Drosophila melanogaster: one gene and its partner. Each later gene encodes a partner of the first gene's protein in a complex. Each region holds a gene or a part of one and is shown on either strand. Other genes may lie near its edges.

The links.
Region 2: the proteins of ND-19 (region 1) and ND-B16.6 are in contact, whole or in part, in a cryo-EM structure (PDB 8ESZ), measured with the Drosophila melanogaster proteins. Residues at the interface, in NP_001163296.1 of Drosophila melanogaster: Val2, Ile3, Thr4, Asn5, Asn6, Thr7, Thr8, Leu9, Pro10, Glu11, Glu12, Leu15, Asn16, Val17, Gln18, Glu19, Leu20, Leu27, Arg28, Ala31, Phe32, Leu34, Gly35, Asn42, Phe45, Met46, Arg49, Asp54, Pro55, Arg56; in NP_001284943.1 of Drosophila melanogaster: Arg63, Asp64, Ile66, Glu67, Met68, Ser70, Ala71, Asn73, Val74, Ile75, Phe76, Pro77, Ile78, Val80, Ala81, Glu82, Arg83, Asp84, Arg85, Phe87, Leu88, Arg89, Leu91, Arg92, Arg93, Arg95, Val110, Gly111, Val118, Glu124.

Annotation. Positions count from the first base shown.
Region 1 is NT_033778.4:24,662,183-24,665,986, reverse strand, and holds ND-19 (NADH dehydrogenase (ubiquinone) 19 kDa subunit), read right to left. Parts: upstream 1,590-3,804; 5' UTR 1,541-1,589; exon of another isoform or gene 1,531-1,540; intron 1,480-1,530; exon of another isoform or gene 1,472-1,479; 5' UTR 1,437-1,471; coding exon 1,308-1,436; intron 1,134-1,307; coding exon 958-1,133; intron 895-957; coding exon 804-894; intron 751-803; coding exon 619-750; 3' UTR 548-618; downstream 1-547. Other genes in the region: CG34214 (uncharacterized protein), read left to right, coding at 31-89, 149-536; CG30161 (uncharacterized protein), read left to right, coding at 1,658-2,413; Cpr60D (cuticular protein 60D), read left to right, coding at 2,685-2,696, 2,755-3,024; CG3663 (uncharacterized protein), read right to left, coding at 3,639-3,804.
Region 2 is NC_004354.4:6,348,476-6,352,555, reverse strand, and holds ND-B16.6 (NADH dehydrogenase (ubiquinone) B16.6 subunit), read left to right. Parts: upstream 1-2,154; 5' UTR 2,155-2,263; intron 2,264-2,317; 5' UTR 2,318-2,328; coding exon 2,329-2,434; intron 2,435-2,501; coding exon 2,502-2,860; 3' UTR 2,861-3,540; downstream 3,541-4,080. Other genes in the region: kdn (knockdown), read right to left, coding at 1,602-1,820; CG3847 (uncharacterized protein), read right to left, coding at 3,909-4,080.

The DNA of each region.
Region 1 (3,804 bases):
CGTCCGCATAAAAATAAAATTATCTTCAAGATGGCTCCTCGAGAGAAAGTTGAATTTGTGCTGGTGCGCCTGGCCTTTGTTCCTTACATGTAAGCAATTAATATAAATACCCAAGAGATCGCCAGAAACTCATTCATTCCTGTCGCAGAAATCCTCTGTACCCGCGCATCAGCTACCAGATCAGAAAGCACGCTCCCACCGGATCGATTATCCAAGTGCGCGATTGGTTCGAGCATGTGATGATGAGGGAGCGCTCCAAGCTGCCCCCAGATGCTAACATACGCTACGCAGAGTGGCGCATCATCACCGGCGACATGGAGCTGTTTCAGGTGCAGGGCGTCCGCTTCGACAAGATCATGCTGGTGCTGGGCGAAGAAAACATCTCGTGGGTCTTCTATCAGAACACGCCACTTTTCCGCCGTATCGAGGGCAGCGCCTGCTTCCCTGTTAGCTACTGCGGATGCTGCCTGAACAACCAGTACCTGGATATTATGGCCAAAATCAAGCAAACTGTGTCGAGGAAAAAGATACGATGAAATAAATATATCGAGTACTAATGGAAACAAGAGTTTATATTAAGATGAACGCTTTCAAATTTCACTAGGCGCTGGCAGCTGTCTACTCCAGCCAGTGGAAGCGGGAACCGTACTTTGCTGGCGGCTTGGGGTAATCCTCGGGCAAACCGGGGGTGGCATCGGGATAGGAGACCTTCTCCTCCTTCTTGGGTGCTTCCCGAGCTGATTGGATGACCTGAAAACAGAAGTGATTAGGAGAGGTCTAAATAAAGCATGCCGAGAAATTACCTTGGCCCTCGAGAAGTATCCATAGGAGGGACGATCCCAGTCGAAGTTATCTTTGATACACTTGTCGAACACTCCCTGGGTCTTGCGGCAACTAAAGTATGGATGGACATTGGTATAGCATGATTGGAATATTCAACATTTACGGAGTGCTTACTGTGAAAAAGCCATAGTACCGCTGCTCTTATCCAGGCAGGTGGCGTACTGCGTGAACTCCTCATGGCAGGTCTTCTTCACCTTGCGGAAGAAGTCCAGGGCGCAGCTGGTCACGGCTTTGCCCTCCGCCAAACAGGCTCGCGGGTCATCCAGCTCCTGCCGGCACAGCATAAACTCCTGAAATTACACGAAGGAAAAGGTAAACAAACGGGGAAGGTGCTTTTTGAGGTTAGGTTATATAACTAAGCCGCTCGGATTTTAAAGAGGCAGCGGCTCCCAGCTTCACTTTAAGGCGCTTTTCACCTAAGCATTACTATCAGGAGGATTCCCCTGCAATCTGGATGTACTAACATTATTGGCCTGCTCGCATTGCTTGCCCAAATGGAAGGCGCCTGCCCGTAAGGCCGCCGACGATAGATTTAGCTCCTGGACGTTCAGCTCCGACTCCTCGGGCAGTGTTGTGTTGTTGGTGATGACCATAATAGCGTTGCAGTCCTGTGCGATCAACCAAAAACCTGAAAGGCTATGAAATTCAATAAAAAACAAAATAATTGTAGGATTTTGTTAATTTTACGTTTGCTTACAACACAACAGCTGATTTAGATCCAGGGCTGCTGAGACGTAGCTGTCAATAACAATTTATATCGATAGTGTAGCCGTTTCACAAAGTCATCGATAACAGGCTCACAATTTAAATTAAAATGATTTCTTTAATCTTATACATCTGTCTATTTTATAGTGCTGCAGCTGATCGCAATTTAAAAGTAGTTAAGTATGAGAATTCGGTTGACACCATTGTTAAGAACCTCATCGACAACTGGCAGTCGCCGCTAGTTTACCTGAAAAGCCGCGGCTACCTGCCGAAGGATGCGCCCGAAATGGATTTCCAGCAGCTGCAAGGGAACTTGGACCCCAAATTGTCGTTAAACGACTTAGTTGAGCTGAACAAGGATTCCAAGCGGGAGGCGGAAACCAAAAGCCAAGACAATTCCATTGGGCAGATTGATCCGCGGGCAGTCCGATCGCTACAAGATCCCAAGGACCTCGAGCTGAAGAAGATGTTCCAAACGCTGTTCTCTTCGAACGACAAGACTGCCTCCGAGGAGATCAAATCCAAGCTGGGAGTGTCCTGGGATATGAATGCTTTAAAGACATCCGCCCGTTTGGGTGCCAAGAAATATCTCGAGAAGTTCAACAACAAGCGAAATAAGGGGATGTCTCTCTTGCCAATTGAATCCTCAGATGGGACACTTACTAACGAGGCATCTCTAAATTTTTCCTCACTTATACCGCATGCCTTGGAAAAGAAAAGCAACGATTCTGTGAGAAAAACCACTATCAGTAAGCCAAGCTTTCTGAAGGGTGTGGCCAAGATTCTGAGCAATCCAGAAATTAGGTATAGAGACTGGGATTCCAAGCCTGCACAAGAAATCCTTCCGAAGGCCGCGGGCGCATAGTTTTCAAATTCATTGTTGATGATTAAATGTTCTTTTAGTAGCAAAATGGGTTAACAAAATCGCAATCAATTAGTTGGGGGAGGCTGGCCTGCTTCTGGTGCCAGAAGCAGACTCGATTGAGTAGCCGCAAATTTCATATTCATGGCTGTCTGGTTAATCTCAGTCATTTCATTAGCAGATGCGATTGAAACCCGTTTAGTGGGCTAGGCAGCTTCGGAGTATAGTATAAAAGGCCGACGGGCATTGTTTCATTTCAAGAAGCTGCTCCAAAATGCTGAAATATGTGAGTTTAATCGGATTTCAAACAGACTATTGGATAATCAGCCACCTCTCAATTTCAGAGCCTTATCTTTGCCCTTTTCGTCGTTTTGGCCAGCTGCAGTGAGGAGGATCTGCAGGCGCAACTTCTGAAGTCGGAGAACCGCCAGAACCTGGATGGAGCTGGGCAGTTCCAGCATGAGATCACGGTCAGCAATGGGATCCAAGTGAAAGCTCAAGGCAATGTGAACGGCATCCAGGGCGAATACTTCCTTCCCGGCGAAGATGGCAAGCAAATTCGCGTGACTTACACCGCAGATGCAACCGGCTTCCATCCGAAGGTTGAAGAGTGACCGAGTGACTTTGATGTTATGTTAATCTTAACTTATAAAACGGCGGTTTTTTCCATAAAATGAGTGGTGAGGTAATGTCTTGTTGTTCCAATAAAACGTTCCCCTGGTAGAACTCATATTGAGAGCTGTTGGGCTACAGTTCATAGAGCGCTTCAGCATCTTCATCCAAGGGTCTGTCCAATTAGACATTGCGCTTACAGAGCCCCTGAATGGGTCATGTGGAATGATGATGATTTCCTCATCCCACACTGCTGCACAAATAAAAGGTTACCGAACAGCACTCAGCTTTATAATCAATGCCGACAGGCGGCATAAAATACGCATTGTCATCCGCATAATAAGGAACCCAGCGGAAATGGGGCAAAGTGGGGGAACTCACCGGAAGGGAAGCCATTGGGGCTATTGTTAAACGGCAAATTCAAATATGGACTCGCCCATTGTGCGGGGCCATTGGAATATGTTACGGAAATGACAACTTAAATGGGTGCTGCTCCCATTCGGCCCATTCGGCCCATTTCCCATCCGCGTATCCTTGAAAAGCACAATTCTGCATGATGGTTTTATAAATGCAATTGGCTTTATAACAAACAGATATTTAGACAGGAGGGGCTATCTCACAGCTTGGCACTGCCCGCTGGCACTCCGCTCCCGTTGCGCGTGAGTTCCATATCCACCGACGGCTGGTTCACCAATTTCCGGACCACATCGAACTTGGGGTTGTTCTTATCTCGAACCAAGTCGAAGATAACGCTCTCACTAGTGGTGATCACACAGCCCGCT
Region 2 (4,080 bases), on another chromosome or scaffold:
AGGAAAGCATGGGAATTCGATACACTGGTCGAAAAGCAAAGGGGTAATTCGAAAAGTTAAAATGAAGAACTCACCTGTGCCTCGGACAATTTCCGTGCGGAAATGCGATAGAGCGACATGGCAATGCGATTACGTACGGCTGCGAGTAGAAGAAAAACACTTTCGCCTTGGCTAGAAAAAAACACACACACAGAAAAAAATTTGCTTTCCTTTTTCTGGAAGTGAAGTGTTCTTTTCGTGGGTCTCTCGTCTAGCAGCTGCGCGGCAACTGAATGGCGCCAATCGCATTTTCTGCGGGAAGGGGCGGCACGAGCGCAAAGAACACCCGCTAATTCCCACGCAACGGCGTTTTCCGCTCTCCCCCAGAAAGGTCACACTTAAGGTGGGCTGCCTGCTCTGGTACTTGAAAAAAAACGCCCACGCAACTTATTTAATTGAAATAGATGTTATATGCTTTGGATGCATTTTTGCTCTACTAAGATCCATATAAATTGACATTTGCTCGAGTGCAGACTAGTTTTCAATTCCAATTTTAAAAAAGTCTATTAGCTATCCCAGTCGACACCCCCCATTTCCATGCATTTTAAACCGCTCCCTGACATTGTCTGTTTGCTATAGAGTATAAATACTGTCGTGTGAGGGAAATATCTTTTTATTGCGGGAAAATCAAACACCGACTTTTGTAAAAAATAATCATATTTCAACTGAAGTTTTATAATAAAGCTTTGCCGAAAAAGGCCACAGATCAATAAAAAGTTCGATATTCACGAAGACGTTTATCATCATAACTTTGTTAAAACTTGTCGTACAGTTTACAATTTAGTAGTTTTAATTACTTAGTTTTAGTAGTTTTTTTACTTTTAGTAGCGAATTCGCAGTGCTAGGATTCCTACCACTTTTTGAAGGATTTAGGGAAATTAATTTTTGGGTCAATTTTTTTTTTGTAAGGGGTAACATCATCAAAATTTGCAAAAATTGGCCAAAAAATAGAATTCCTATTTTTTGATACAGTTCGACAGGGAATTTAAATACGAGCTCGACGAGGTATTGCATTCCGTATTCAGACAATTATTTTTAAAGTTATGGCAAAAAAAAACTGATTCTTTTATGACGGAAAATCGAAAAAAATTATTTTTGCAAAAATTACAAAATTATAGATGGGCATTTTAATCATAACTTGACTAAAAGTGATCACAAAGCGAAAAGAATAACTGTTTTGAGCAGCTAATTGCGAAGGCTAACCATCCCAATCACTTTTTGACCGATTTGGAAAAACTAATTTTTTGGTAATTTTTCGCATTTTTTGTAAGGGGTAACATCATCAAAATTTGCGAAAAATGGTCAAAAAATAGAATTTCCATTTGTGGATACAGTTTGATAGGGAATTTAAATACGAGCTCAACGAGATATGGAACTCCATATTTGGACAAATATTTTTAAAGTTGTGGCCAAAAAACTGATTCATTTTTGAACGAAATTTGGAAAAACAGATCTTGGCAAATATTAAATAAAATTTGTTTATGGTCATATGGTCTTGGTCACCTTTCTCGCTGTTATGGAAAAATCAGATGAAGGGAGATTTATATTAAAAGAAAACTCACTTGGGCATCCTGCATATCAGGCATGTTCAAGGTTTCCGGAGTCGCCGATTGTTGCTGCTCCTTGAGATTGCCAGTCACGTTATCCTTTTTGGAACGCATTCGGAATGAACTTGGAGTCCCAATGGACTTCGAGTCCCACATAGAATTTTTAGCCAAATAACGTCGTTGAAAGGCAAAATGATGGCCCAAAGAGCCATTTCCGAAACGGCGTACGAACATTACTACTTTTAGCTGTAAATATATACGATATTTCGAAGTTTCTAGTTCGCTTTTTCTCTTGTTTTTGGGAATGTGAAAGCTAGTGATGTAGGATACAAAAATTTATTTTGACAGGAAAGCGATTGCGATAAATATAGGGATGGTATCAAACAGTTCGGAATACTGTATATACTGTAATACCGTATAAACGTTTGCACGTTCTACTGTGACTTGTTGTTGTGATTGTCTTTCGATAATAATATAATATAAATCAAATAAATTGACTCAACTTTTCACGTTAGAAAATATTTTTCAACTTCGTTTGCAGTATTCGCCACTTTTTGGTATATTTTCGTCACTACTTGGTATTTTACCCTGCCCCAAGTCAGGCCACACTGCCTTGGTGTTATGCAAAAAACGTCATTTTTTTGACAATTCAACAGATTTTTTCCCTTTATTCGAGCGTAAGTCCCAGTTTACCGGCCAAACAGCCGACTGATATATACTTTGTACCACAGGAGGAGTCACCATGGCGACGGCAGTGCCGCATTGTCCCCCGAAACAGGACCTTCCACCGCCGGGCGGCTACAAGAAGATACCCTTTGCCCGCGTGCCACCGAAGAGCTACTTCACAGGTGAGCTCCTCCAAATCCCATTGATCTAACCATATATGTGCTGGTAACTATATCAATCCCTCGGCAGGCTTCACCACCATCGGCACCTATGTGGTTGTGACAGCCGTTGGCCTGGGCATCTACTACTTGACCGCCAAGAAGGTGAAGCGCGACGAGATCGAGATGCGTTCCGCCCAGAATGTCATCTTTCCCATTTTGGTCGCCGAGCGGGATCGCGAATTCCTGCGCCAGTTGCGACGCAATCGGGACGAGGAGGCCGAGCTGATGAAGAACGTGCCCGGCTGGGAGGTGGGCACCTGGTATGGTGAGCCCGTTTTCAAGACCCTGCCCGAGGATACCCTGGTCACGCCCATTTTCAAGGAGTTCTACGCCCACTCCGACTGGAAGTCGTACGCCAAGCGTGCCCACTTGAAGCTCTGGTCCTAAATCGGCCTAGTTAATGGATTAGTTAATGCCTAAGCACGCACCTTTTTGTTTGTAGATCATCCGCCTAAGCGCCAAAAAAAGAAAGTATCGACCAATTATAATGTCAGATCAGATTGGCTGAAATACCGATTCTCTTTGTGTGTGTTTAATCCAAATCCTGTGCTGGACCACCCGAGGTAGCCAGAGATTTTTACCAAACCGGGGGCGTTGCCGTCCAGCTGCAATATAGCCCACGGGCAGTGCTCAAAAATGGCCAAATTAGATGGATTTGGTGGCACCAACAGCGGGGAATCCCAGTTGGCTGTGTCACCAAATTAAAATCTAATTGAAAATCTGCTGCTTAGTAAAAATAATAAATTCACAACATAAAACACTACGAAATGCTTATGATTCAATAGGGATTATTAAAATAGCAATGAAGAAATCTTGAGCCATTGAAAAACATTCTTGATTTATTTTATTTTTATTTTTTATTGAATTCAACATCGATTTGACGCTCGTTTTGTGTGTCAGTATTTGGAGTTTCGGGTTATTACACAATAGCGGGTGATCGTGAGCTCTAACATTAAGTAGTCGTAATTATAAGTAAGTAATATATATCTATACATGGGCCATGATCGACATCCGTCGACATGCTTTTATCTTCAATTGTAAACCGCAGAGTTGGCCTGAAATCATATAAAAAAAAAAACAACTGTGTGTGTGGATTTGTGTACAACTAGGTAAAAGATAAACCCTTTCCTTTGGAATCGCTTGACGACAGTGGCCCCCGTTGTGGCTCCCAAAAAATACAATATGGGTGTGGACTTATGTTTGCGTGTAGATAAACAGCAGCTGCTCCTTTCTCCTGGCCCGGGCGGCTAGTGTCCGAGTTTTGCATGGGCGAATCATTAGAAACTAGCTCGTGCTCCAGCTAATCCTACTGCTCCTAATCTACGTACTCCTGCTTGATAACAACGTAACGCACTGGCGGCGGCGATTTCTGCTCATCACGCTCCGGCTCCAGCTGCTGCCGACGCCGCCAGTGCTCATCACGTTGTGGCCGCCTCTACTTCATGTCCCTTCGACGCTTGATGCTGCCATCGCAGGTGGGCAGATGGCGCTGTAGGAAGCCCTCGAAAACGAACTTGCGGCCGCAACGTACGCAGCTGAACTCGCGCTTCTCCTCCACCTGCTGCTTGTGCTGCCGCAGTGCCTCCGCATTAGAGTACTTATCGCGG